Cricetulus griseus: one gene and its partner. The protein of the gene in region 2 interacts with the protein of the main gene of each other region in a pairwise test. Links are inferred from orthologs where the notes say so. Each region holds a gene or a part of one and is shown on either strand. Other genes may lie near its edges.

Region 1 (4,442 bases), on a different chromosome or scaffold from region 2:
AGAACATCAGCAAAGAAGGGAAGTCTGTCAGAGCCCACACATGATGCACACAATGAAGACATTATTGTTCTTTCTTTGTCCATGGAGAAGTTAGCAATGGCCTTCATGAAGAAATTGAATTTTCCCATTACTCCTCCTGAGGAAAGATGATTAACAAGACTCAACAAAATCAGGAACATAAAAGTTGAAAGGAAGTTTAAAAACTATGAAATAGCAGTGGAACCTATTTTGTGGATAAGAACAAGACTGTGGAGTAGAACCTATTTCCAGAAAGGAAGACTGAGTTCCAGAACATCATGCTGTTTCAAGAGAGGAGAGGTTCACTGCTTCAATGATAACTATCCCAATCTTCTACTTCTATTGGAAGAATAAATTAGACTCCACAAATGGAGTTGAGGTAGCCTGTCTCTGTTTTTCTTGGTCAGGAGGACAATGATGGAGCTGGATACTGCAATACTGAGGAAAACTTCCATCATTTCTCTCTCTCAGGGGCTCCTGGCCTTGATTATGCCTAGTTTCTTGGTCTAGGGCTGCATATGCATCTGTGCTAAAGAATACTTCCTTCCATGAAAGGAAACTTCCCAAACAGAAATGTGTGTGTGCACATATTCTATGGGTTCAGGCTCAACTTGTTATTCTAACTTGCTAAGATAACAGCAAAGGTGAGAACACAGGACGTAAGTGTCCCAATGCTGGTGGCTATAAGATAATTAGCAATGATAAAAAGTGAATTAGATATAAGATAGTAAATTAAGTTTCATCTTATACTTTAAAAGGGTGATATCTACCTAATTACTATTCTTCCAAATACTGTGCAGGCCAAACAAAATACCTAAAGAAAGCATGTTCATGGACTTTTGATTCAGTAATAACAGCCTGTATCCTTTATTTTAGAAAAAAGGCAAACCAATCCTTTTCATTGCCTATTATCCTTTAAAACTACTAATACTTACTTAGAGCCTATAGCGATTTGAGAATAAAGCCCAGATGCATTAAAGTTATTTAGTACCTTAGAAACCATGTACAATAATAGATTCCAGCTCTCCAATTATTTAGGAACCTTTCTTCAAATAGGAACTATGGCAAAATGTACTGACTTTTTAAAATGGTGAAACTTCAACTTTGGTTTGGGGCCCACTCCAAATGGCCACTTTCACCCATTTGGTGACTCCTGACTTGACTCTAGGTTACAAAATATGAGTTTGAAAACTCATGACTTCCTAGAGTTACAATAATTAGAGATATGTGGTGGGATAGGAGCAGTTCAAGTTGGCAGAATAGCTGGCCCACCCATAGTCTGATTCAGCTACAATTGGCTTTTTCTTCTTGCCCTCTATTCTGCAAGGAAATGTGTAGACTATAAAGAGTTAAGAGGGATCTTGGGAAGGGAAAGGATTTGAGTAGGGAGCATCCCAGATAAACTCTTTGTATTTGATACTCACAAGATCTCTGTACACAACTTGCATTTATTCCCATAGGTGATATAGTCTGAACCACAAACTGGTGTGTTTTCAATGGGGCAGGGGATAGCTACCACTGGGTACTTCTTGTATATGTCACAGTCCACCTGGTTAGACACAAGAAAATGTCCTGGTTTTCTCAAATACCTCAAGTATAACTATCTTGGATCAACTAGAAAGGCTACAAGAGGTGAAGTTGCTCTCATCTCAAGTATTCTGATGCTGTTGAAGCAATATTTTATAAATTGTGACTCCACCATCATGATAAATACCAGTAGTCCCAGAACCCTTCCTTCTTTCAAATGCCACACTTGATGAGCAATCGCTGAGCATTTCTGTACCAGACAATTAACTTTAGTGTGACATGATTTCCCACTATTTAATATTTAGGACACTTGAATAAGAGAAGATCTACTATCATGCCTATTTACAAATGGGGAAAACATTTCTCCATCTGTGTTTATCTCCTCTGTTGATTTCTCTAAACATTTGACATGAGCTATGTATATTTGTTGACTAAGTAATAGCCAATATAAATTGAAATTAAAATTTTGTTTAGCATACTTACTGTTGGTGAAGGGTGAGTGGTAACTTCTGGAAGACAAATACAATGGAAATATTAAAAATAAAGCAAACCTGGAACTTTCATTAATCAATGTTGTCTTATCTTTCAGCCAAAGACTTTTCATTTCTTTTGGCATTGAATCTCAGTGTATACTCCATCATTATGGAAAATCACAGGTGTTTGTTTAGGAACTTGAATGGCCAATAGGTAAGCTCTTGAATCAGGAAGGCAAATTTATTTGTTCTTTCTGAAGCTTATGTGTACTTAATAAAGTCAATTGCTGCTGAATCCTTATCACTGATACACTTTCTTTATTAATCAACATAAACAAATGTAAAGGGCCACATGTGGGGGTGCACACATTTAATCAAAGTACACTGGAGGCAAAAGCAGGCAGATCTCTGCACGTCCAAGAACAGCCTGGTCTCCATAGCAAGTTCCAGTCCAGCTAGGACCACATAGTAAAATCCTGTCTCAAATCAGCAAACAGAAAAGTGAATGAATGTCTTTAACATGTTAGAAACGTATTTTAACTAAACCTCTTTTCACAATTTAAAAGCTGAATTAGTAATTTGAGCCTTCTGGAGGAGTATGGTTTATTTCCATCCTCCTATATGGATCTATGAAGACACCTAAGGACTCTCTATCTCTGCACTGGGGAGTAGCCATCAACTGGTCCAGGGGCAAATATCCTTATGTAACAGACTTTGTAAAGGAATTAGGACCCTTTTGTTCATGAGTGTCAAGTAAGAATCCACTCAAGGGAAGGCACTAAATCCCACTCCCTCAAAGTAAAGCTAGAATCATGATCCTTCTCCCCAGCCAGAACTCTTCCTCACTTTAAATCCACTTGATCAGATATTTATGTCCTAGAATCTAGGAGAAAATGTTTGTAAAAAAGAAAAATCCTTCATGACTACATGTGACCTGTGTAACCCAACTTACCTGAGCTGTTGCAGAAATAGGTTGCTGTGAAGAGCAGAAGGAGGCCCCCAATGAGCTTCATGGTGCAGAGGGATGAGATGAGGATGTTAGTGTTGTGAGAATGGCTTGAAGCTGAATGTTCTGTGCACTAGGAGAGGGGTCATATTTATATGGAAAGCTTTGGTTTCTCCACCTCTCCTGTGAGATCATCCAAAGTCAGTGTTGGGCCCAAGAAGCTCTCAAAGCACGTCACACCCTGAGTGGTGCTGTAGCACCTGTCAGTTAATTACTGCTTCCCTTCTCACTAACAGGGAGGTGATTTGAGGTGAAGAGTATTTTTTTTCTGTCTGTTGCATAAGTGAGGACTGTTAACTTACACTAAGCTTCTCGAAGAAGAGATTAAGCACAAGTTTCCTGTCTTAGCTATGAAACAAAAAGAAATTACCAGCTCAGTTTATTTTACTTGAATGGAAGGTATTAAACACAGGCAAGCCATGGGATACCTACATTCAGGTTTGGTTAGGTTCCTGAGAAAATAGTTTTCTTTTGAAAGCAGTGAAGCCATTAAGCATGGTAGGGTCTGGCAAACATGGCAACAGCTTTGACATTTATGAGACTTGGAGAAAGTTGTTGGTCTTTCCTAGCTATGAAACCTTGGACAAGTCATTGATGAAGCTGTGAACTTTTACCAGTCAGGAAAGCACAGTCATGTGATAGTTGTAATTTTAAGATTTCTATAACTTAAATCTGGTACCTGTATGAATGTGTGGTCAGGTGATGCTGCTGCAAGGCTATCACTCCAGCTACCAAATGGGCAGAGTAGTCACTGTTTAGTATAGGGTTGTCAAGTGAGGTGAAGTAATATCCTGAAGGACATCCCTTTCCATCAATGAAATAAATATTCGATCCCAGAAGCGATAACCCTTTTCTGTCACATAGCTATTGGTCTCATGATCTTTTCCAGCTGTAGAGTATATGGAATTATTATGGTCACTCTTAGCTTGTCCCCTGAAGGTCAACATGAGAATGACTACAAGTAGTTGACAAACAGCAGAGTGGACTCCCTCAGAGCCTGAGTGCCATCCCAGTCCCATTAGTCACAACCGAGCTAAATGCCATTAACATGAAAGTGTGCTCAAAAGCTGAGTGTGTTTGAATACATACTTGAGATTGTTAATATGAGGAGACAGGAGTCAGTACTTGGATTGCTGGTAATTAAACTGTAAACTGTGTTGTTCAACAACAGTTTTCCAAGTGCCTGCTATTTGTTTGCAAAATGCAAGGACATGAATGAAAACCTGGAAGACTGCAGGATATAGAGCTCATTGCTTAATAAGCATAATTTTATATGTTCTGAAACACCTCATATGCAAATGATATTAAACAACTTAAAATAACATTGCATCACCTTAAAATTTAGACTTTTACATATTTGTGGGGGCCAATATAGCCTTGTTAAAAAACCACCATTGTACAACATGGATCTCATTTGT
Region 2 (3,817 bases):
AGGCCTGGAATGTTGGCAGAGCAGTTGGCACAGAGAGGGATACATAGGGAACCATGAACAGGGTGACAGTTTTGGATGGCAATTCTGGGCCACAATGCAGATGTTAGGTTTGGGCATATGCTTGTCTGGGCAAAGCCATCTGTTGTGACAGTTACTCCCATTCTAGAGACTCTTATAGCTAATAGCTATGATGTGTAGGCAGGCTAAAATTCTTAACGCAGGTCCCTGAACTACCACAGGATAAGGACCTCCAAGTTGTACATGGCTCCAAGGAGAGGGACAAGCTCCAGGCCCTCCTACCTTCATCACTGCTTTCCTTAGGTCCTGTCTCCTCCAGGCCCAGCCCAAAGAGATCTGAGTCATTCTTCAGTCTGAAAGCAGAGACTGAGGGCTTGGAGGGTAGGGGTGGCTGGGCAGAGCCAGTGTCCTCATCGGTCACATCAGAGAGGTCTTCTCTTACTGGGAAACCCCCCTAGAGAGAGAGAGAGAGAGAGAGAGAGAGAGAGAGAGAGAGAGAGAGAGAGAGAGTGTGTAGTTGGTAGGCCTATTGTCCTGACAACTGCCATGGGTTGAAGCAAGATGGCAAGTCCCTTTGGGAACCTAGGGGCTGGTGTGGGGTAGAAAGGGGTTAACCTGACCCAGATCAGCAGGGCCTTCATGTGGACAATGGACACCCACCCATGGACTCCTGTCCACTTCCTCCAGCTGGCTTCAGAAACATGTTAAGAAGGGATTGTGTCTCTGGGGCACTGGAGCCAGGAATACTCTCCTTCCTGCCTCTCTTTAAACCTTGCTCTGGGAAACAAACCTTGATTGTCCTCTATCTCTGGAAGGATGGAGGCTGAGCTTCCCACTGTCCTTACCACTCTCCTCTGCGTGTCCGATTCATCACTTTCAAAGTCAGGGTCATCCATGACGAAGGACAGCATCTGAGCAGCAATAGGCCCCTCAGGATCACTTTCTGACGACACCTGCTTGTCCTTTCCTTCTTGAGGTCTATGAGAGCCATCAGTAGGTGGCTTGGTACTGCCGAGGTCAGTCCCTGAGCCAGTGGTGAGACCATCGGACCATGAGGGTATGGCTCGGGTGGGAGCTCCCTTCTTTTGTAGATGTGAGGCCTTGGTGGAAGTCCTTCACATAAGAAGAAATGTCAGGAGTTCTGAGGCCACCCTAGGATGCCACTATCTCAGCTGGCCATACCCCGAGGACCCTAGCCCATACCGTTTTGTCTCAGGCTCTGAGCACTGCTGAGGAGCCACTCTGGGGTGGCCTGCCAGTCCTTCATCTTCCTCTTCACTGGAAAGACTGATGTTCTTACTGGGGATGGGGTCTGAGGACAGCAGGGATTTGCCATGTGGCTGGTCTTCTATGTCCACATCATCTTGGAAACCAGCCACCATTGGGTTCCCTCCTACGGCCTCCCCATCATCACTGCAAAGAGGGGGAAGGCAATCAGAAGTTCGAGGGGGGCTATGATTCCCTACCCCACTGCCTGGAGAGCTGCCCTGTCTACAGTACCATATTCTATTGACAAGACCTTCTGGGCTGTCACAGGGGCTGCTAAATAGAGGTGGGAATAATAGGACAACACTGCCTTGCTGCTGGCCAATGAGGGAATCAGTGGGAGAGGAGCCCAGCTAGAAGCCTTGAATCTATTTGTTTCTGGAAGGGAATCCCTTGGCTCCATTGAACATGATGATGCTGGAGATGCTAACAGTCATTCAACATTTGATCTGCAAGAGAGAGTGATCTTAGAGCTTGGCTGTACACAGGTTTTAGTGTGTTGTTAGAAGACAGATGGGGTTTGTGGGAAGGGGTAGCTACAGGAAGCCACACCTGGCCAAGGCTTGCTTGTTTGGGTCCATATGGAGAGACCCAGGTGGCCTTCCCTATGCCCTACACATAGAATGGGCTAGGATATATTCAGAGTGCCTCTGTCCCTGCTGGGCCATCTGCCAAGGTTCTTGCTGTCCTAGGAAGATTCCAGCCCAGTGTTCTCCAGTCTGCTGTGGGCATAAACTGCCCCACTCCATGGTGAGCTGGCTATCTACATACCCCAGGGTGGCAGTGATTAATCTAAGCAGCCCTTCCCTCAGTTTTTCCAGTCAGAATTCAGCCTTCGTTCCTTAAAGCTAGACACCAACCCAGCAAGCACAAAGAAAGGCTTTCCACAATCCCCAGCAGTGTCTTGGAGATCCAGGTATAAATGGGATGGGGAAGCTGTGTTGGCAGTCCCTTGAGGTAGACCCTGTGCTCAGCTCCATCAATCTATCTTTACCTGTCACTATCCTGCTGTGGGCCTTTGGTTCCAATTTTCTTCTTGTCTTTAGGCAGGGTTGTGTCTTCCAGGAAGCTTCGATCAAGGCCATCTTCAGGGACAAAATCCTCAACATTCTGGACTCTTGCTGGGGCCTCTAGGGCTGGAGCTGGCTCTGTAGAGAAATGCCGTTTCTTCCTTATGTGGCCCCATGATAGGAAAGCTTCAAAACTGAGTCTGTAGGACTAGGACTTGACAATTCATGCACCCTGACTCAAGATCATAGGTCCAAACAGCAGCAGCTGGCCCATGAGGGAGGAGCTTATTAGGGACACAGGAACCGCATTCCAGTCTCTGAGGGATGTGAGGCTCAAGATACCAGAAGCTAGCTCCAAATTCACATGTTCAGAGGGCTGCTCCCAGGCCTACCTGGAGGTGAAGGGGACACTTCTGCAGCTGGTGAGGTCCCAAACAGCCTAGAGATGATACTGCGACGCTGGGCTGGGGCTGGGGCTGGGGCTGAAGGCTGCACAGAGGAGGGCACAGCCTCCAAAGGGGGTGCAGGAGACGGTGCTTGGGGACAGGTGGAGGAGACACTGAGGGACAGCTGGGGGGCAGGCTGGGGAGTGCTGGGGCTGGAGCTTCCTGTGGATACAGCACTTGGAGGCACAACTGGAGACTGGGAACCTGAGGATGGACTCTGCCCATTGGCCGCCAAAGGGGATGCATGGCCTCGACTTCGAGCCTCCATCATTTCAAGGAAGCTAGGAGGGGCAAAAGGATAGGGAGTGAGAAGTTGGCTTTCTCTTGGACCTCTTTCTCCAAGGCTTTTGACCATCAGTGCCTCTTTTGCATTTATACTATTAAGCAGAGGATAGGGACTGCCTGCCAATCAGCTGCCTCACAGTCTTTGGTACCCAGACTAATGCCTTGCTTATATCCTGTCCCTTTATACTGGTACCTGCCTGGGGAACTGAGTCTCACAGCACAGATGAATGACCAGAGTCAACCAGGACCAACTGTTTTATAGGGTTTGGGTAGGTCAGTGGCTGTCAACAGTACCCAACTAGTGACCAAGAGGCAGGTATGGCTGGTTATTTGCCAGTGGGGTAGAGTTGCTAATCATACATGTGTAGTTGCTTTAACCACAGGTTTGTGCTGATCCACATGTAGGAACCATACCAGATGTAGGTTCTGATGGTTCCAAACTATTTGGGGGTATAGAGTGCCAGAGCCAATACAGCCCACCCTCAGGATTATCTGCCCTCACTTTCTGCAAGAACTCAGGGGTCTGTAAGGAAACTGAAACTGTCCCCAAGATCAGCATAGCTCAATTCACAGTATTAATACACTTGTTCTAGGCAAGTGCTTTACTAAGCAATTCACATTAATAGTTAAAAACCTCAATCGGTGAACAGGAAGGGCTTTGGGTAATAGCATGGAGTACCTGTCCTAAGAGGCTGAGATGAGCTGGTGTACCATGTTACTCAGCTATTCCCCACATTGCTCCACCTGAGTACTAAGGGCTTGGCTAAAGAATACTCAGGTTGACTGACCTAC

What was found.
Region 1: the proteins of Rabl6 (region 2) and Spink7 interact in binary tests that used the Homo sapiens proteins (3 or more experiments, as listed by UniProt). The link is inferred for Cricetulus griseus from reciprocal best matches to the Homo sapiens genes RABL6 and SPINK7.

What each region holds. Positions count from the first base shown.
Region 1 is NC_048595.1:176,492,476-176,496,917, reverse strand, and holds Spink7 (serine protease inhibitor Kazal-type 7), read right to left. Parts: upstream 3,032-4,442; coding exon 2,971-3,031; intron 2,055-2,970; coding exon 2,029-2,054; intron 1,568-2,028; coding exon 1,443-1,567; intron 137-1,442; coding exon 91-136; downstream 1-90. UniProt on the Homo sapiens protein: Probable serine protease inhibitor.
Region 2 is NC_048599.1:136,935,473-136,939,289, forward strand, and holds part of Rabl6 (rab-like protein 6), read right to left. Parts: intron 3,022-3,817; coding exon 2,687-3,021; intron 2,433-2,686; coding exon 2,279-2,432; intron 1,432-2,278; coding exon 1,222-1,431; intron 1,132-1,221; coding exon 864-1,131; intron 473-863; coding exon 301-472; intron 1-300. UniProt on the Homo sapiens protein: May enhance cellular proliferation. May reduce growth inhibitory activity of CDKN2A.